Tribolium castaneum: one gene and its partner. The protein of the gene in region 1 purifies or fractionates together with the protein of each later gene. This does not show direct contact. Links are inferred from orthologs where the notes say so. Each region holds a gene or a part of one and is shown on either strand. Other genes may lie near its edges.

The links.
Region 2: the proteins of ics (region 1) and Ilk purify together in Homo sapiens (affinity purification with mass spectrometry; 9 studies listed by BioGRID and IntAct, counting the BioPlex papers as one, with this or other methods). This does not show direct contact. The link is inferred for Tribolium castaneum from reciprocal best matches to the Homo sapiens genes RSU1 and ILK.

Annotation. Positions count from the first base shown.
Region 1 is NC_087397.1:10,350,601-10,361,178, reverse strand, and holds ics (ras suppressor protein 1), read left to right. Parts: upstream 1-4,159; 5' UTR 4,160-4,232; coding exon 4,233-4,380; intron 4,381-4,595; coding exon 4,596-4,646; intron 4,647-4,695; coding exon 4,696-4,935; intron 4,936-4,980; coding exon 4,981-5,063; intron 5,064-5,118; coding exon 5,119-5,366; intron 5,367-5,411; coding exon 5,412-5,496; 3' UTR 5,497-5,680; downstream 5,681-10,578. Other genes in the region: bifunctional purine biosynthesis protein ATIC, read right to left, coding at 1-64, 115-331, 387-408; UPF0389 protein CG9231, read right to left, coding at 1,398-1,590, 1,755-1,960; uncharacterized protein LOC103315046, read left to right, coding at 2,587-2,691, 2,752-3,423; Nemp (nuclear envelope integral membrane protein), read right to left, coding at 5,690-5,819, 6,530-6,691, 6,779-6,968, 7,013-7,163, 7,210-7,376, 7,424-7,631, 7,680-7,801, 7,850-7,913; tubulin epsilon chain, read left to right, coding at 8,136-8,160, 8,207-8,415, 8,455-8,759, 8,801-9,187, 9,233-9,306, 10,218-10,474, 10,519-10,578. UniProt on the Homo sapiens protein: Potentially plays a role in the Ras signal transduction pathway. Capable of suppressing v-Ras transformation in vitro.
Region 2 is NC_087394.1:5,463,365-5,474,815, forward strand, and holds the start of Ilk (integrin-linked protein kinase), read left to right. Parts: upstream 1-4,068; 5' UTR 4,069-4,321; coding exon 4,322-4,410; coding exon of another isoform or gene 4,411-4,414; exon of another isoform or gene 4,415-4,428; intron 4,429-4,534; coding exon 4,535-4,700; intron 4,701-7,470; coding exon 7,471-7,639; intron 7,640-9,044; coding exon 9,045-9,646; intron 9,647-11,451. Other genes in the region: trc (serine/threonine-protein kinase tricornered), read left to right, coding at 2,656-2,771. UniProt on the Homo sapiens protein: Scaffold protein which mediates protein-protein interactions during a range of cellular events including focal adhesion assembly, cell adhesion and cell migration.

The DNA.
Region 1 (10,578 bases):
AACCACGACTCGGATCATATCGATTTTTTGTCTCTTCAAATCCTCCTGATCTGAGGGGATAAGTCTGAAGAACAATTGATTAATTTTAAGAGTTGGGGTTATGGGGTAAAATACCTAGCTAAAATCCCTCCGTGCACTGCCGGATGCAGCGTCTTCACCCTTCCTCCCAGTATCTCAGGAGCTCCAGAAATCTCTGAGACATCCTTAACAGCGAGCCCCGCCTCCCTGAGACTCTTCGCAGTACCACCACTTGCCACAAGGGTAAAACCCAAATCTTTAAGGTTTTTCCCGAGGGATATGAGACCGGTTTTGTTGGAAACCGACAAAAGAGCTAGAATTGGGAGCATTTGAGGTGTAAGGTTAGAGCAAACACGTGGTTAACTTACCCAAATTACCACCTGTTGCCATCTCTGAAAAACAAGACTGGATTACACTGCCTAGTAATACGAAGTGGAAGAGTTATTGGGAAATAAGTGCTTTTTAAATCCACTGGGGGGCTATTATTGATTAATAAAGGTCACGGCAGTTTATCAATGAAAAACATGTTTGCTGCGTTTCGATTATCAAAGATGACGAAAAGATGTCTTGTAATATTCTAATAGATAAGGAGTGAGAACAGAGGGGTACGTACCTTAAAATACACGCAAATAAGCTGGAGGGAACAAGACGAACAAAAGAAGAGAAAGACGAAGGAATAAGTGGTACCCACGTGGTACCGGTGAACTTAATTGTTTAAATTGGTCGCTAAATGTGGATGTTTACAGCTGATTTAAGGCGGGGAGAAAGAGAACAGCAAATAAAGTTATTCCGTATAATTTAACAATGAATTTTATTTAAAAACGAAGTTGGAAAGTTGCCCTAATTTGTGGAATTTTCATATATCTACAAAAATTAACTGGTCTATCATCAAATAATATTGGTTTTATAAAAAGTCGTTACTAATGATAATGAGTAATCAGTTCCCTATCTAGAGCTGCAGAAAGATAAAATATTTATATTGAAAATTCCATATGGTCTCGTTGAGAATATTAAACTCAAGTCTGTGAGATAATACTAAAACAACAAAATTAAACTTGCGGCTCGATAAATATCGGTTTTTAGTTTCTGTCCTCTATTTACATATTAATGACGAAGAAACAGTCTATTAAGAGTATTTCAGTACAGGGACCTGTACTATTGGTAAACTTCATGGTCAAAATGCTTTACATCTTCTCTAAGTTATTAGCCATTAAAGTGTAAATTGTTTATGTACAATTGATGCACTGAGGAAAAGTTTGCAACCACTTTTATTGGCTTAAAATGAATATAACAATACTCTATTTATTCCATAGCCATATTTTACAAGAGGCATTTAAATATCATAAATCCTAGTCTAAATATGTACAATCACAAAAAGTCTACTGTTCCTTCTTGGTATCCTCATTAAAACGGCGATGCCATTCGATATTTTGTTGGGCGACACTTTCACCCCTTTGTGCTGCTTGTTTGCCCAAATAAACCATACCAAGACACGCTAAAGCTGTTGCAGCCATCATGTAATTGGCGATCCTGATACGCATTCTATTCCTAGCCCGTTCCACAACATTTTGCCTAAAAAATAACAATAACTAGCCTTTTTTAAGGTAGGTACCAACAGGGTACTACTAGAGCGACTCTAGTGCCATCTGAAGACACATTTGGTAACTAATTTAAGTAATGTGATTATTGCAATATTGCAGACGTTATCAAGCACTTTAACTCGTGATTAAACTTACGCTACATAAGCAGGCACTTCCTCAACAGTCTTGTATTTACCAGTCCATACTAAAAATTTCTTTTCCAAATTGTTAACCCTGTGACCTGTACCAGCATATTTTGAGGAGTCTGAGTGTTCTTTTCTCACACCGTAAACATTATTATTTTGGGAACTTAACAATATATGTTGAGTCTTTATTAATAAAGTGTTGAGTATTGAATTCATCCTGTAAAGTCGCAAAAATGTGTTATTCAACTTGGCTTACATAACACTATTTACAAACCTTTAATTTGTGAAATCTCATGCACTGAGGAACACTTGTAGCAAAAAATCTGATCGGAATAAACACTTCGACCCCTGACAGTGTCAAAATTGTCAAAAATGACGCACTAAACGTGTGCTCATGATCGAAGCGCACTTTGCAAAATTTCAAATGAATTGTAATTCGAGGACAAGCATTTATAAGCGGTTTGGTTGTGTATACGTGCAAAAGTAAGCATAGGTGTGCTCCTGTTTCTCTGCACGTTTCCTCTGCTGCGGTTCATTACTTCACAAAATGAGGTCAAGGCAAAACCGTTTACTTACCATGTTGAACTTTTTGAAAGTGGCGCTTTAAGGGCGCTAGCTGATTGGCCGCTTATTGCACCACCTTTTGCAAACAAATGAAAGCGCGCGTGCGCGGCCATTTTGCGCTTTATCGTTGTTATCGGCGTTTCTCCGATTCCAAAATTGCCAAAAAAATCACAAAATAGACGAGTTTTTAGGTGTGAGTCGTTGGTAAAAGCAAAAAGGCGTTCGTGAGTGAATTTGAGACAGTTTTCTTGGTGGGAAAACAACGCATTTGGGTCAAGATGGTTTCAAACGCTAAACGTATGAAATACGTTTCGGAAAACGACTATTCCTCGTCAGATGGGGAAAATGTTGACGATGGGGACTTTTCTCAACACAACAGAAGAGTAAGTCCAACGCGTTTACGCAAAATTGGGCGTGGGAGTAATGAATTTTTGGGTTTCCAGATGGGTGGGCGTAGGACCAAGGGGCTGTCACGGAACGCGATAATGGCCCGCGAAAATCGCCTTAAAAAGAAAATCTACATCACAAATCTTGAAAAAGAAGTTGGGCATTTGAAAACCGAGAATGCTAATTATTCCAAAGTGATTGAAAGTCAGTCGTTGCTTATCGCTGATTTAAAGAAAGAAATCAAATACTTGAAAAGTGTGATTGCAAATAGTGCAGATATTGGCAATTTGATAAAAAATATCCACCACAGTACAGGTATGTCAGTCACAACATCCTTGGATCAGAGTTTATCTTTGAATGTTTCAAAGCCAAAGCAAGCTATAGCTAGAAAAACAGCACACCCATGGGAGGAAAAACGTTACCCGAGTTTTCCCACACCTGAATCAGATTTTCTCTCAAGTCCACACTCTGAAAGTGGATTGAATGATTTTACTGACGATCTGTTCAATAATATTGAACTTGATGATTTTATGGGGGTCACTGATACGATTCTAGACCCTGTTTCGAATGAAACGAGTGAGGAGAACTTGCATTTAAAAGAGCACAATTATACTACGAATGAAGACGAAGACGATGTTGGAGTATGTTTACACGTTTCAAGACACAAGGTCTCGCTAGAGTTTTGCGCCACCTGCAGCGAAAACGCCCAACAAGCCTGGAACGACTGAATTAATTTAAAATGTCTGTATCTAAGTATACTTTGTTGTCTATGTATAGTCAAACTCTTTCCTTGCACTTAGGATTAAATGTTATTGTTACTAGCTAGTTTTGTGGAATTCTGGAGTATTATTGTTTTTTTAAATTTTCAGGACCTTCACGGATTGGAGATTGTAGCTTCAGAAGGATTTGCAGTCCACCTTCTGAAACAAAAGGTGCGGTAGCGTCCAATTTTGGTAAATCCCAACTTCTGAGCATTTTTATTATTAGTGAGGAATCAGAATTTGGGATTGTCATTTGTTTTTGTTGAATTGTTATTTTCACGCTTTGGTCTGATTTCAGTCAAAGACGCAGTCAAGTCACTTCAGGGCTGTAACAATGACTGGAATAAGTAGAGTAACAAATGTATCGTTCCATGTTATCATATACACAATATTTCGTTCTAGAAATCGTATATTTTTTCTATTTGTTCAACTTCTACTAAACAAGTATGTTTTTGAGTTTCAGCACATAGCGCAGAGTCCAGGGCCGGGCCGCATTCCGGATTATTATAAGTTTTTTTATTTAATATTAGGTAATAGGTAGGTAGTGTAAGGAAAGGGTCAAATAAACTTTTGTATTTATGTTCCAACTGTCTTTATTCTACTTCCTTCCATTAATTAGCACAAACGTGTTTGTTAATCCAATTAGCTCACTGCACGTAACAAAAACTTGGCAAGTGTCCAGTCAGACCACTGGCAAGTGAAAAAGTTCACTTCGAGCGTGGCTTTCAACGTGGTCAGTTGCTTTTTAAATTTGACGGGCTTTTCGTGCGCGCGCAATGAATCAAGCACCAGTTTCGTGCCTTCCAAACACAAGCAAAATGTCTAAGGCTAAAAAGGTTTTAGACGAAGCTCGGGAAATAAGAAATCTCGAAATTGATTTGGCCGATAAGGCCATTTCTTCGTTCGAAGAAACACCAGGTTTACGTAAGTGGAATCACTCCTCGGCAAGGTTTTACCTAATTTGGTATCTTGTTCCACCTGGGTGGGCGTGGCCCAAAATTAACTAACATTCCCAAGAAAAATAAATAAATAATAATACAATTTTTTATCTCTAATAATGGGGAATAAGTTTTACTACATAGATAATAAGATAAATAGAATTATTAATAGAACACGGAACTGATTGATTTATTTTTTAGTTAATATGACTTACATTACCAGGCTTACGCTAAGCCACAACAAGATCAAATGTAAGTGGGTGCTTCCGCCCTTGGGCCGTAAACTAAAAACCCTTTTTAGCCGTACCGCCGGCTCTTGCAAACTTGACGAACCTCGAAATTTTGAACTTAACAAACAACCACATTGAGGAACTCCCCCTTTCTTTATCATCAATGCCAAAGTTACGAATTCTCAACTTGGCAATCAATCGTCTTTATAATCTTCCTCGCGGCTTTGGCGCCTTTCCAGTTCTTGAAGTTCTCGATCTGACTTACAACAATTTGAACGAAAAATCACTCCCAGGAAATTTCTTCATGATGGGTAATTTACAATTGGTTCCCTCCAAATGATTAATTTTTGATCTAGAAACGTTACGAGCCCTGTATTTGGGCGACAACGACTTTGAGTACCTACCTCCCGAGGTGAAAAATCTCAAAAACTTGCAGATTGTAAGCAAATATTTGACGTTATGTTATTTGAGGTGGGAATAACGGGGTGTTTCAGTTGGTTTTGAGGGAAAACGATTTGATTGAGTTACCAAGAGAGTTGGGGGAGCTGACGAGACTGCGTGAGCTCCATGTGCAAGGAAATCGCCTCACGATACTGCCCCCTGAACTCGGGAATCTCGACATGACGTCGAATAAGTCTGTTTTTAGGTTTGAAGGCAATGAATGGGTGGCTCCTATCGCGGATCAGTTGCAACTAGGAGTCGGGCATTTGATGGAATATTTGCGCTCAGAGGCTTACAGAATGTACGTTTTATAAAACTTTAATTTAGTTTAACGTTTGTTTTTCAGAACGTACAATCGCTACTCGACTAATAAACCACAAGTTCCACCACCTTGCGTCGACAAAGCGAAAAAAATATCGCGAATACGTTGAACTCGTGCCTTTTTTTACCTAATTAATTGACTAATTAACTAAAACGAAAAATACTGCCATTATACTAATTACGTTTTTTTTTATTTGATTTTTGTGGCCTTGGATGTACCAGCTTTAAGTAAAAATTAATTGTATTTTACAGTTTTTACAATAATGCAAATAAGTAAATAAATAATTAACGAAATTGTCAGTCTTAAAAACACTGCTCATCCTCCGTATATTCACTCTCATCGTCCGTTAAATCCGTCGTGTGGATCGACGTTTCGTACTCTAGAATTTCCTCATCACTCAAATGCGAATTGCCTTCCATAAACGACGCAAATCTGAAAAAAAACTTAGATGGCGCCACTTGTGCTAACTTGACCATAGACAGTAACCTATAGAACTCCTACGTATTTTTTGGAAACGCACGGAAAAAAAACGAAATTAAAAAAATTCTCTGTTGACTAATAGTCACAAATAATAAATTCATTAGATTATGAGAATTTGCAGCGTGCAAAGTTGTTATAAAATATCCTGGACATTTTGTGGAGTGGATTAAAAAGACGGGTAACAAGCTGTTATCAACTTTTTCTTAATCAGAAAGTGTATAAATAGCTACGCTGTCTGTTGACTTCATTTTACCAGCGTTGGGCAAAAGTGTGGACCCAAGCGTTTTTGCTTAAATTATGTGCCTTTCGAAAAAAAAAAAAACATCAAGTACTTTAAAAATGTGACCATTTTCTAAGAATAATTTTTTTTGAAATCCTCTCTAGTTTATCAAAAAAAAATCGCCGTACTAGGGTACCTTCCATTGTGGCACGAATGGTTTTGGAGCACGACGGAGTTGCACAAAAGTTCTCTTTGTGATACTACTTTCAGTTTCATTATGAACAATTTGTGAAACCTAAATTAGGTACTTTTAAATAAAATAAATAAAAAGCCAGGATATCTAGTTGGCTGCGTCTTATTTTTCACCTACCACAAAAGGGCACAAAAATCTATGAGACTAAGCGTTCTATAGTTTACCCTCTTGTCTAAGAACTTGACCCACCTTTTGACATCTTTCAATTTCATAGCAACTTGCCACTGCTTACACTCAGGACTTGAGCAATATTTCCTCAAATCCTCCAACGCTTTCGTTGTTTCCCTAACTCCCTGCTCGTAATACTCGTCGTTAGTTAGTGGTTTAATTTTCGGCGGAAATCGTTTTTTCCTTGAAAAATACGAAACATAACAATGAAACAATTAGCTCACAACTTACGTTTTTTATACAACAAATTTTGAAAACAAAAATTCTTACCAGTATGTTTTCGGTTTTAAAAGCCACGTTGATGGCACGTTGTGGAAGAGTAAAAGGGCAACGATTTGACCCATTGCCGCCTCCTGGAATTGGGTGCTGAAAAAAATTGCAATAAGACCAGCCCCTTGCAGGGCCCATCGGATCAAATTGCGGCTTCTCTCGTTCTCTATGGGGCCCCATCTGTAGCAAACTAACCACAAAATAATTTCAGGTGCAAAAAATACAGTAACGTACTTATGAAACTGATAAAACCAGTTATTAGAGTGTACCACACAACGTAGGATTTGTAATTTAGTAAAATGACACGGACGTTGTCCCACAAAAGTTGCAAAAGGTAGATTCCGACCGTCCATCCAAACGCAGCCACTCCGTACATTATTGGTTTCTGAAATTTGACTTGGAACAGAAAAAATTAAAATTTAGAATATTACCCTCGGGAAAAGTCTGCTAATTAAATAAATGAGAATCAGGAACGAAGTACAAATTCCGAGTGAAATGCCACAAATGTAATAAAACAGGGTGTTTCTGCTCAGTCTGTTTGCTGTAAGAAAGAGGGAAATGCCCCCCAGTAGAAGAAGCACTTTCCAGTAATCTATTCCTACGGAAAAAATTAGATTTTGTTACAAACACTTTGTCCGTCCTTACTGATTACATTTAGGGTCACTGTGTAGCTCTCCCTGCTGTCTATTCCAATACAGCTCTCATTGAATGGGTCCAAATGCATTTGCTTCTGCTTATTTGTAAATAAATTTAAATTCCAACTGTACCTATTGGCATTGAATTCTTCCATAACGGCATCAGGGGACGGACCGTCATATTGAGTATAATCACCGGATTTATGATCCAACTGGAGCTGTACAAAACTTTAGACTAACTTATACCACAAACCTGTTTTTTGTACCATAACACTTTGCCAAATGTGTATCAAATACTTGGGCTTGCCCGCGTAGCAAAAAATATGAAACTCTGGGGGCATCCTTTGCACCCCAGCTGAGAACTTCTCCCCCTGATGCAAGTAATGAACTAAAAATTACAAAACGTTAAGACATAACCTACAACTTGTGCACATACCATTGAAGGCCCGACCCGCGGAAGCGGCCGTGAGAACCAAAAAGACTAAAGTAATAAAGTGCATTTTACGTATAAATTTGAAAATTCGTGAACTACAATGAAATAATTTTGTATTTTGAGTTTCCGTTACATTTTTTGTTTGACAGTTTCTAAGAAGTTAGCAACCCGTCAAACTCCAACAAGGTGGGAAGATGCGTCTTGGGTGTGCTAGAGAGAAGTGGCGGTTTTTGGCGCGCTTGGTTCAAATTTGAATAAAGTGAGGTTATGAGCCGTTCGTAAAAAATTAATGAGTGAATTCATCGTGATACAAGGTAAGCCACTTGTGAGACTAATTTGTGGTTCAATTGTCACGTCCAGTCGGGCAATGTGGCAACCAAATCGGCAGTTTTCTCCTCCCGGAAATCCTCCAAGAGTATGGGGTCAAGACAACGACCGACTCCCCAGCCAAACCCAAACGAAACAAAGCGGAATTGCAGCAGTTCATGTCGAGTTTCTTCAACATGGGTCCAACGAACACAACAATTGAGACATTGAGCGACTTGTTGAAAAGTAAAGCCAAAGCGAGAGTGAGTTGTTGTCTCGAATTGTCTTCAATCTCATGTTAGTTTTTATGTATCGACATGGAGGACAGTGTGGTTGCCAGGTTCAAGTCGGGGCGATTTCGCGACTTATTCGACAGCAAATCTCTGATAACGCATTATCCCGGTTCTGGGAACAACTGGGCTGAAGGCTACTGCAGTCACGGCCCCAAATTCAAGCAAAAAATCCTCAAGGCGATCCAATACAACGTCGAGAAATGTGACCATTTGCACGGGTTTTTGGTTTTATTTTCAATGGGGGGTGGCACGGGCTCGGGGCTGGGGACTTTCATTGTGAAACTGCTTGCAGATTTCTTTCCACACATCGACCGGTAAGTGATAAAAAATCAAATTTTTATTGACCAAAAATTAGGTTCGTAGCGTGTGTGTACCCCACAGGCACTGAAGACGTGATTACGGGCCCCTATAACATGGCTTTCGCCACGGAACAACTGCTGGAAAGTGCCACTTGTGTGTTTCCCGTTGAAAATCGGGCACTTCTGGACATTGCTTTAAGACACACGGGGCGGTACAGTGCTAAAAATAAAACGTATTTCTCTCCATTTAGGCCGTTTGAAGACATGAACAAGATAATCGTTGATATGATTTTGCATCTCACGAGTGGCTCGAGATTTGGGGGGAAAATGAACATTGATATGAATGAGATTAATACGAATATGGTGCCTTTCCCCAAATTAATTTTTTTAGCGAGTGGATACAGCCCGTTTAGACTGAAAAATTTTAACTCAAGCGCACACAGGTACTTTTTCTTTCGGTTATTCATTACATAATACGCTTGTTTCAGTGATCAATTAAAAAACGAACTGTTTTTAGCATCGTGTAGTAGAAACAATCAGCTATTAAAAGTCGATCCGTTTGGTAGGTTTGGCGTGTAAATATTTTTTTCTACAGCAAATGTTAAAGTATCTCTTTATTAACTCTTTTGAGTAGATAAAATAGCACTTTAACTAGATAATATGTTTTAAATTTATTTATTCAATTAAATTTACATATACCATCGTTTTAATTTGAACTTTTTTCTCCTAAACTTAGTCTTGCTTACGGACCTGCTGTTGGAAAAAATGTATAATATACTTTGGTTTGATTTCACAAATTGTTCACTGTGAAACTGAAGGTTTTTTTAATCGTAGCACAGTTTGCGCTAAAGTTCTTTGGTGGTTTTGTGATAAATATTCTGAGACTCTCTGTTTGTTTTTGTTTTGAACCGAAAAAATATAAATATTAATAATAATTAAAAAACACTTACTTTTAAATAAAAATCACATTTAACTGCTCGGTATTTAAGTAATAATAATCATAAAGCAAACGACTAAGACATTACTTCTAACCCGGCGCCTCCACCAAAATTCTTTAAATAAATTTGTGCAATTTTTTTTTAATTGCGTCCGTCTCACAAAATTTTAGTAAATTTTTAGGAGTTGTATTGGCACTGCTGGACTAGGTGTCAGCAGCCATCACCGTAAGTTAGTGTTTGATCTGTCAACAGCGTCAAATCGTTTATTGATAAAGCCCGAATAATTAACAAAATTAAGAGGAAACAGTTTGAACAGATTTTGATAAGTTAAATTTAACAAAACCAAACAACAAAAATAGAAAGTAGTAAAAATAGTTCTATAAAACTTGTTTGTGGTACTCATTCTTTTGGAGCACTCCTTCGTCGTGCTCCAAAACCATTCGTGCCATAATAGAACGTCTTATAAAACTCGTATAATAATATACTATTACCTCCTCGTGGGTCAACAAAAAAATTACTTGAATAATTTTTTTAGATTCCAGGTACATGGCGATGAGTCTCACTTTATTGGGCAGAGGAAATTATTCAATAAATGACATGAGGGGTTACATCGATAGGTTGAAAAGTAAGTTACACTTTGCTTGTTGGTCAAGCAAAGCTGTTAAAGTCGGACTGTGCAATGTGCCCCCCAAGGGACTAGACTTTTCAATGTTTTCTCTATGCAACACCTCATCAACGTCAAATTTATTTCAAGAAGTTTTAAACCAATTTACGAAGCTATACCAAAGAAAAGTAAGCAATTTTTTGGCCTCTTGACAACATTAACATTGTTTTAGGCCCATGTTCATCATTACACTGCCATATCTGGGTTTGATTTTGATCAGTTCAAAGAATGC
Region 2 (11,451 bases), on another chromosome or scaffold:
GGTAAGTTTTTAACTTACAACTCTTCTTTTTCTTCGAGATTTTGTTAAATCATCTTATTGTTATTAGATTATTATATCAAATGTTACTTTTTTGACAACGTTTTCAAGTGTTTTAGGAAATTTTTAGTTAGAATAGCAATTTGGCTTAAATAAACAGTCGGTTATTTTTGTTGTAACTCGTTTTTTACTCTGACACTTAATTATTTTGGGAAATATCGTAAGAAGTTTTCTCAAAAACCACCGAATTTGGTCGAAAACATCATTAAACTTTTTTTTTTGGGCGTTTTATCACTTTGTTTTTAATTCAAAACCACCACTATTTTACAATATTTGATAATAATTAACCCAGAAATCACAAAATTTGGACGAAAATAGTTTAACTGAACTGAAAAAAAAAACACTAAATTGTCGATAATTTGTTAACATAACCAGAAAGGCAATTTTGTCGAAAATAAACGGAAAAATTGCAAAATTTTACCAAAGCGAATTGAAAAATCACTAAACTGGTTCGAAATTTACATTATTTTGCAGTTTTCCGTAATATTTTGTTTATTTTGTTTAATCAAAAATGCAATCAATTCACAAATTTTCTTCAAAAATAAAACAAAAGTGTTTAAGAATTTCTAAAATAAGCCGTTGTTAAGCTACTAATTTTTTCAAGAGTTAAGGTAAGTTTTTAACTTACAACTCTTTTTTTTCTTCGAGGTTTTGTTAAATCATATTATTATTATTAGATTATTATATCAAATGTTATTCTTTTGACAACGTTTTCAAGTGTTTTAGTAAATTTTTAGTTAGAATAGCAATTTGGCTTAAATAAACAGTCGGTTATTTTTGTTGTAACTCGTTTTTTACTCTGACACTTAATTATTTTGGAAAATATCGTAAGAAGTTTTCCCAAAAACCACTGAATTGAGTCGAAAACATCATTAACTTAATTTTTTTGGGTTTTTTATCACTTTATTTTTAATTCCAAACAACCACTATTTTACAATATTTGATAATAATTAATCCAGAAATCACAAAATTTGGTCGAAAATAGTTTAACTGCACTGAAAAAATAAACACTAAATTGTCGATAATTTTTTAACATAACCAGAAAGGCAATTTTGTCGAAAATAAACGGAAAAATTGCAAGATTTTACCAAAGCGAACTGAAAAATCACTAAACTGGTTCGAAATTTACATTATTTTGCAGTTTTACGTAATTTGTTTAACCAAAAATGCAATCAATTCACAAATTTTCTTCAAAAATAAAACGAAAGTGTTTAAAAATTTCTAAAATATGCCGTTGTTAAGCTACTAATTTTTTCAAGAGTTAAGGTAAGTTTTTAACTTACAACTCTTTTTTTCTTCGAGATTTTGTTAAATCATATTATTATTATTAGATTATTATATCAAATGTTACTCTTTTGACAATGTTTTCAAGTGTTTTAGGAAATTTTTAGCTAGAATAGCAATTATTTAGCGAAATTGCGTTAAGCATAACCCGAAAAAACACGAATTATTGTTTGCATTTTTCGGCCCTTTCTATAACCATCTATTACATAACGAAAACTTGCTAAGCCCGATTGCAAAATTACAAAAATGATTTTATTTTTTTGTCTTGTAGCCCCTGTTTAGATAAACACTTTAATTATTTCAAGAAATACCGTCAAATTTTTTTTTTCAAAATTATCCAATTAGATCGAAAATGGTTTAACTTTTGCCGTTTGCAAAAAAAACCACTACATTGGTTTCAAAATTTCGTTATTTTTTTTCTTTTTCAAGCATTTCAACGCATTTTTCAACTGTTTTTGGTATTTTTTTTTGAAAGAAATAATGATGTACTGCAGTGAAAATTTGTGAAACCCAGTTATTATTATTATTAAAACAATAAACAATTATTAAATTGTATAGAAATTGACATTATTGTGTAGTTTTTTATTATTAAGAAACAGAATTCGAGGTTTTCATTTCATTATAACACTTAATTAATTATTTCGGAAATATCGTAAAAATAAAATTTACAGTTTTTTTTTGACTGTTTAAACTTGTTTAAACTCTAATTTTGTGCGTTTTTCGATAGATCGAACTAAAAAACTATCTAGTTTTTCATATGTTTGAGCACATAATGTAAATTGAGCATTTTTTCCCACCATTTACGTATGTTTTTGAAATAAAAAATGATGAAGTTTTGCGAAATTATTGTGTCAATCCCGGTTATGAAATCGTCATAATTCGATATTGATATTAATGTTAACACGTTTTATTTATCTAAAAAATGCAAAATTTTGTCAAAAATAACTCAAAATATTTTTTGAAACTTTACAAACTCAAGCCTTTTAGTCACGGAATATTGTGATGAAATTTTTGCTTTTTTTATAATAAGGTAGGTAAGTCTCGGAAGTATTGTTGAATAGAATATTATTTTTTACCTTTTTCAAACGTTTTAGCGTTTTTTCATTCACAGATTAAAAAGTCACCTCTGGCGTAGAACGCGAATTATTTTTTTGCATATTGTGTTCAGTTTAGTAAAAATTCATCTGTTAACCAGGTTTTTTAAAATAAAAAATAAAAAAATAAATAAAAAATTAAAATAAAAGAATAAAAACAGTAAGAGTACAATTTTTTGTAATTTTTTTATTGTGTTTGTTTTAACATTTTTATTTCCAGCTTCTGCGCCTATGCCTCAGGACGGTGAGGTCAACTACAAAGACTGGGTGTTCATCAACTACACGTTCAAGCGGTTCGAAGGTCTGACGCAAAGAGGGACCCCAACAAAAAAATAAACCGCACTTTTATGTGCGCCAACAAATCGGCAGTTAATCGCGCTATAACGAGCACTTATTTTTAGGAAATATCGTGAAAAATCACACCAGAGTGCTTCGATTATGATTTTCTCGTCTTTTCAATAACTGTACCTATCCCGTAGTTATTTTCTAAAAATAAGTAACTTTGTGTATTATAGGTCTGAAGCAGTTTTCACACTGTTTGCTTTGAGCTGTGAGAAGCTACGTATCTTTTGTTGTATTTACACTGATATCTCGTTAACTTGTGTTATTGTAAATATTACGAAAATGACGAATTGTTAGTACAAAATTGTTGCGAAACTACTGCCAATTATTTATGTGATGATGTGTTGCTTCGAGGGCGGGCGGTCCGAGGGATATTTTTGTACCTAATGATTTTTTCCCTATCATTTTAAATACAACAGAAGATTTTTGTGTATATGTTATTTTTTGTTTATTGTTACAAAGTGATACGTTTATTATTTACTTGTTTTTTTATTTATAGACAATGTATTTCTTGATCGCGCGTCAAGAACTATTTTGTATAACTCGTGAAGGACATGAACTAATTACACTTTTTACACCTTCATGATTCTGTCAGTGAGATCATATTTTTGCAATTTTTTATTTCAAGACGAACGAGCGTAGTCTAGTAGGCGGGTTTAGTAATTTTCGTTTAGAGTGACCTGCGACGTTTGACAGGCAGTACCGCCAACTGTGTTTCAAGGTTCATGGCCACTCTGATCATTTTATTAGTTGTTTTGTTCCAAAGAAGCACATATGAACAATTGTTTTTCACTAACCAATTAGATTTTGTGGAAGTGTATGTGTAGTTTTGCAAACATATCGAGCAGTTTTTTGGCTGTTAAACAGTCTGGTGTGTATGTGAGGCAGTTGGTAGACTTGGAAATTTTATAGAAAGTATTAATGTTAAGCTTGTAGCTCTCTATGCACCTTTTTTTTCAAATTCGTTTAACTGGTGCAAATTAGCTAGATTATTTGTCTGATTTGTTATTTATTACATTGGTCTCGCTAACAGGACTTGTACATAATATATTTACTTCCAAAAATGTGTATAACAAAGTTTATTAAACTATGTGCTTTAACCCGTGTTTGGAACTCCCGCCGGCGTGTTGCCAACCTTTGGTAACTTCCCATTCCTTTTATGGTAAATTTTTAATTAATTTGGGGGCCCAATCTAACTAATTGTTACCTAACGGAGCGGGGGACAGTTTTTAGGACGTTACGTTTGATTTAAAATCCTTTAAAACAATTAAAAAATCAACTTTTTTATCCGTTTGGGGAATTTCAAGCGGCACGGTTGGCAACACGTCCAAATATGGCCGTCTGTTGTGTAAAAAAGTGTTTAGTTTTCCTCACCTAATTACCAAAAAAATCCTTATCTTATCAAAGTAATGCGGTAAATAGCTTCCGGATAAGCGACTGAACGCACTCATTATAAATAAAAACCAATTCTCGCGTTTTAAACACCACCCAAGTGAACGCCCATTTGCTGGTACAAGTGCCCCACTTTTGGGCAAATTGCCGAAATGGAGGATATTTTCCAGTGGTGCAGGGACGGGAATGCCCTCCAGGTGCGGGTTTGGCTCGATGACACCGAGCACGACATGAACCAGGGGTGAGTTGTGTCTTTGAGGTTAGTTTAATGGCATTGCCTAATTTGGTCAGTGGTGTGGCCGTGTTGTGTAATAATTGGGTGTGTGTGGGTTTGTTTGGTTTTTACTGATTGGTGATTGTCTTAGGGATGACCATGGGTTCAGTCCGCTGCACTGGGCGGCGAAAAGGGGGCACACGAAGATTGTGGAGATGCTCTTGCTCAGGGGGGCGAGGGTCAATGCCACCAATCGGGGGGACGATACGCCCTTGCATCTGGCGGCTGCACATGGGCACAGGGAGATTGTGCTTATGGTTGGTATTTTATTAATTTATTAATATAAGAGTAATAATAAGTCTGAAGACTTACAAGGTTGTCACTTTATCGTTTGACTTTTTACTAAAAAGAGTTGGAAAAAATTATCATCGTCACGGTTAGGAAAATTAAAAATTATTCCTCAACCATTTTTAGGAATTTTTTTTTATGTGCTTTTATAGAATGTGGGTTTTAACCTACTTTTTTTCAAGCGAATACACTATAAAAGTACAACAAATTGAGACGTAATCCGAGTACACGTTTCTCATTAGAAAGCAGTATTTTTTTATGTATCTAACAACTCAGAATGAGAAGGAAACCAAGGAAAAAGTGAAAAAATTATTGGCAAAAAATAAGAACAATCATTTGCTGAAGTTGAGCTTGCAAAAAATAAACAAAATACTTTAATTTTTTTGTTGTTTCTTCTAAATTAAACTATTATTAGCTCGCAATTTATTTAATAGTTATCTTATGTTAACAATAAACTGGTTAAAAAAATTTGTATTTTTTTTACTGAAAGTACTTAAACCTTCAAATAACATGCAAAATAAAATAACAGAAACCTTCTATTCCTATTAAATAAACAAGTCATCAATTTTTTGATTTATGTGTGATTATTTTTTAATCAATTGTACCTACCAAAAAAATAAAGAAATAAAAAGATAAATTAGTAAGTTGTGTAAAGTTATTTTGCAATTACTGATTTTTAGTTTTAAGTAGCGTTGTTTGTTTTATAGTAATGTTTAATGTGTTATTGAAGGTCCTAATAATTTTTCTCAATGATACTAAATTAGAATTTACAGTTGTCGCTCAATAAAAAATGCCTTTTACTACCTCTCCATATAAATACAATCTTTGATACTGAATTCATAAAACAATAATAAAAATAATAAATAAATTAAAATATGTAATTACTGATAAGTACATCGTTTTACAACTCATTAATTATTTAATAATAATAATAATAATATTATTATTTAATAATAAATGGTATCGATTTTATAGATGTTAACTTGTTTTCTTGAAAAACTTGTAGCAGAAAAATCATTTAAATTCGGATTGTAGAAATTTTGGGATTTTTAGAAAATTATAAAAAACAAAAACACTACGTGGAAGTGACAATAAATGTTTTTTACGAAAGTGTTTTTGGCTCTAAAATAAATCATTTTATTATTATCCGAAAACTTTTGATTAAAAATTATGAAGCTTCGTCTCTCTTAATTTTAAATGAGTTATTCTAGATATGTACTTACTTATGATCATAATCAACAAAAGTGATGAAAAAATTTTTCGATTATAATAAATTAAATGTTGAAATCAGCTGTTCCAGTTCTATTTTTTTATTTTTAATAAAATAATTTAATTACATTTTTCTGAACTTCTCATAATTCGTCATTTTAAAAATGTTTATTATGTTGATCGATTTTGTCAACTTTTTGAATAAAACGCCAATTGTCCATTTAATAAATCTAGTCTGATAATGGACAAATGTTGGGAGCTATTTATTTTTATTTGTTTTTTTTTATTTTAATTTTAATTATCTGAAAATTCTCGTGTAGATTGAAATACTCAGCACTTTTCCTAAAATACTGTTAACAAGATATAAACAAGGTCGGAAAAAATAGTCGACTACCGACTCAGGCACAATAATATCTTAAAAAAAAATTGGAAAATTAATTTTATGTAATACTTGAAACCTAGCATTTTTTGTTTAAAAGCCAATGTGTAGTGGTAATCCTCTTAAAAAAACAGCAATTTACGATGAAATCAACATTAGTTTTTTTACAAAGAATGTTTTAAAGAAACAATTTGCATCTATTGTTTAAATTGTTTATTTCATTCTATGCACCATAATATACAGAAAATAGTGTACTTTAATCAGGAATTCCACTCCAAATCATAAACATTTAGCTATTTGTATATCTATTACTAGTCAAGTCAAGCTATATTTCAAAACTACTATTTTTTTTGTTTTCCCATGACTTTGTTTAACTTGGAATCAAATTTATTTTCGTCATGGACATACTTTAAAAAAAATATGTTTATAAACATACTTGAAATTTTCTTAAATTGTATTTGACAATTTTTTTTACTAGTTCGGTCTATTTCTTTCGTACTGCGAGTGACGTTTTTTGTTTTTATCTTTTGGAGCGCATTTTTTTCACTAAACAATGAACAAATTTTTTTACATTAGGAGTGAAATAAATGGTAATTTAAAGGATTTTAAAAGAAAAAAAAATGAATATAAATATTTTCATTGTTATTTTTTTATTATTAAATAATAAATAAATAAAAAAAATTATTTATTTTTTTATTAAATTATTTTTTGATTCAGGCAATGTTGATCTCAAACTTCGAACTTGTAACTCTTAATTTATGCAGGATAATTTTTTAAAAGAAGGCACTTATTTATCTTAGAAAATAATGGAATTTGAAAATTTCGACAGAGGTCGATTTTGACTTTTTTTACTGGGCAGTTTTCTAAAACTAATTAGACTAGTTTTAAAACGCATATGTGGTAAATAAAAACAGTTTCCAACACTTTCAGCAAACTTAATGCTTTCACTATTTCAAATATTTTCATCTAAAAAAAGATTCTAATTGTCTAACGTTGACCTTCCAAATAAATTTTATAAATTTTTTAATTTGTAGAGCTGTTCTTCCATTTTTGGAGAACTTATGCTAAAACTGTGACTTAATAATGTTTAATAAAAACCAATTAAATCTTAAAATATCATCTTAATTTCTAAACAACTCATTTTTTTATAGTTATTACGTCAAAGAGCTGACGTAAATTTCACAAACGAACACGGCAACACTCCTTTACACTACGCCTGTTTTTGGGGATACAGAGAAATTGCCGAAGATTTGGTCCATCATGACGCCAAAGTCTCTCTTGCTAACAAATATGGAGACACTCCACTTGACAAAGCAAGAGGTAAATTGAACTCTTACTCAACAAAACAAAATAATTTTTCGACGACTTCATTTTTTTCTAATCGTACAAAAAATTTGCACATTTGTAATATATTTTTAGTTGTGGAAGTTAGTCACTGTCTTCAACCACCTATGGAAAAAACTTTCTCTATTTAGAATTTAATATTATTAGAAAAATTACAGTGTTCAACTCGTGAGAATTTTGCGACTCGAGCCGAAGGCGAGTGAAGTAATGCATCCGTGCCATGTGATATATATATTATATATCAGGGATGCGTAATCGGTCTATAATTTTTTTGTTATGCGAAATATTATCATGCCGTTTTTCCTATTCGACTTAAAGTCCACAAACTGAAAATATTTTTATTGTACACAGGTGTTGTATACAGGGTGGTGAACTAAAGTTATATGTTTTTAAATGGAACACTCTATATATCTTTGCATGATTAGATTCTACGCAAGAAAATAATCTAACTTTATACAAACTATTATGGGTCTATCTCTTTTCGTTTCGAAATTATTCAACTTTTCGTTATCAAAAAGACCAATTTTTGAAAAATCGCTGCAAAGTCGCCTGTGAATGTTTTTCGGCAAATTTGCAACAGAAAAATTCTGAATACCTTGTAGTTTTAGGAAATAGTCGACTTTTACTTGAAACACGGAAATAATGTACAGAGTATGCCAAAACGCAAAAAGTTGAATAACTAATTTTTTTTAATGGAACACCATGTATTTCTTTACATGTGTCGATTACATTTTTCATAAGCTTTCTATTGATATACGGTTTTTATAGCAAATTTACAATATTTCCTAAAGTGTTCAAAAAAATAAAAAATATTTTTTTTATTTATTTTATTAATAATTCTTAATGAGTGAAATTTATTTATGTATCAGGTAATAATTAGATTACTTGTGTAATTAGTCACATTAGTACATGTCAAAAAATTAATTACTATTTGACTATCAAAGTTTAGGCTAACAAATTTTCTTGTAATAAAATATATTTTTTTGAACAGTTTCGAAAAATATTTTAAATTTGCTATGCAAACCCTATACCGTTAGAAAGCTTATCAAAAATGCTTTCGATACATTTAATAAAATACAGGATGTTCCATTTGAAAAAAATGAGTTATTTAACTTCTTGCATTTTGGTACAACCTGTATATTATCTGCGTGCTTTAACTAAAAGTTGTCTATTTACTAAAACTACAAGGTATTCTGAATTTTTCTGTTGCAAATTTATCGGAAAATATTCATAAGCGACTTCGCAGTGATTTTTCAAAAATTGGTCTTTTTTATAACTCATAAATATCTCCTACTTTTACGGAATATTTAAATTTGATTGTAACGAAGTCGTCGAAAAAACCATGTGTACAAATATCTATTTTTTTATGTAATAATCACAGGCAATTTGGCGAAAATCCTCCACGACATGGCGGTCGAATCCGGGCAAGACCTCAAAAAGATCATCTTCAAAGACCAAAGTTGGCTGGGCCTGAAAACCCGCTCACGTGACGCCACCCTCTCCCGTCACAAAGGCATCAACATTAAAGAATTACACCAACGTGAAGAAATCGCCTCAACACCCAGTGGCGTAACATACAGAGGAACATGGCAGAAAAATGACGTTGTTGCTAAAATCTTAAACATTCGCGAGGTTACATCGCGAATATCGCGCGATTTTAACGAAGAATTTCCGAAATTGCGAATTTTCTCGCACCCTAATATCCTCCCAGTGATTGGTTGTTGCAACAGTCCGCCATATTTGATCGTCATCAGTCAATATATGCCACTCGGATCGCTTTACAATGTTTTGCACGAAAGCAGCGGAATTGTGGTTGATAATGCGCAAGCGTTGCGATTTGCTGTTGATATTGCACGAGGCATGGCCTACTTGCATAGTCTTGAGCGTATTATTCCAGAATATCGTCTGAATAGTCGTCACGTGATCATTGAGGATGATTTGACGGCGAGAATCAACATGGCCGATGCTAAATTCTCCTTCCAGGTAGGCTTGCTAGATCTATTTTTGATAGCAATTTAATGGAAGAATTTTTTAAACTGAAGTTTTATTTCTTACAAATTTATTGGCGCAATCGGTAGTAACTTTATACGTTTTAACTTCGTGTAATTACAATGAAAAAGTAGAAAGGCAGGACCTTTTCAAAATAATACTCATAAATAGTAATAAACTTGTGTAATTTGAAGAAGTTGAAGTAAATCGTAATTTTTCATTAATTTAAAGCTGAAACTCCTTTGATCCTCTTTTAATTCAAGATATCATAATAACAAATTTTTTCTACAGCCGTCAAAAAATCGTGACATTTATGCATGGTTACCTATGCGCGAAGTTTGACGTTTTTTCACTGTGAAAAAATATTATTTTTTCACGGTTTCACAGTGAAAAAATAATATTTTTTAACTGTGCAGGCAACTCGATTTTTCAGATCATTTTGTTCCAACTTATTTCTGTTACAATTTTAGTAACACGAAAAGACATCAACAGCAACCGAAATGAAGAGACGGATCGATAATGAGAGGTAGTTTTAAAGGTTTTATAATTATACAGAACAATATTACAAAACAATAATAATAGATATTTACTTTGACATATGAAAATTAAATGTGCATGACGAAAACGTGCCCCCGTTTATCCTTTCAACATCGCATAAAGGGCCCAGAGTGTTGGTGGCTTTAAGGTGGTAGACTTTTCTTCCAAATACGCCAACAAAACATTTTCCGTTACTTGATCAATCTTTTTCATAGAACACCACTGCCGAAACTGAAGATACGTTTTTTCGTACTGCGGTCTTGATTTAGCAGGCAAAAGATTCGACACTGCCGCGCTTGCAATTGCATCTATTTCGTTTTCGCTGCTAAAATCCATCACACTTCTTCAACAAAAATACCTATTGTGACAAATTTTTCGCAACTATCACTTTTATTTATCATCGTAACCATGCAAGCAACTCGATTTATCAGACCATTTTGTTCCAACTAATTTCTGTTACTTTTTTCTTCATCTGGAGGCTGTAGAAAAAACGTTGTTTGTATTTCGTGGCGAAATTCATGTTTTAATGGCGCCTTCGAATGTCTTTTAGGTCTCGACCTGGCGGTCTCGACTAAAATAACATTCTCAGGCGCCATTAAAAAAACACTCATTTCGCGCACTTAATACAAAAATTACTATTTTTGTCGTTATTATTCTTATTTTAATATTATTGTATACGTAAATGTTGGTTCATAATAATTTTATTTATGAAATAAATTATCAAAATCACATTTTCTTTACTTGATTTCGTTATAGTTATAACAAACACATTATAATTATCTTCTTAATTTTTTCCAATTGGCTTAGCCTCGGATCTCATAATTTTTGTCTTTTAATGCAGTGAAATCTCTCTTAAAGGACACCTCCTATAAGCGGACATTTTCTGTTGGCCCCGTTTTGAGCTAATATATTTTAAATAGTATTGTTTCTCTTTTAAGAGGACTCTCCAATAACCGGACGCGGACAATGTAATTCTGATCTTTAGAAACAAAATCTCTCCTTTAAACGGACAGTATATCACGCACCTGTGTTATTAATAGTTATTATTATGACAATCCAACAGTTAATTCAGGGAATCACATAAGTGGGTACATGTTTTATTTTAGTGTTATTTCATTCTTTTATTCAGCGTTGTTATTATGGCAAATAAAACTAAAAAACCTTGTGGTAACATTCAAAAAAAATAAATTCTCGATTGTTTACTCTAAAACAAACAGAGTGTACCTAATTTTAGCAAAGGAATTTAAAATAAGAAAAACCCA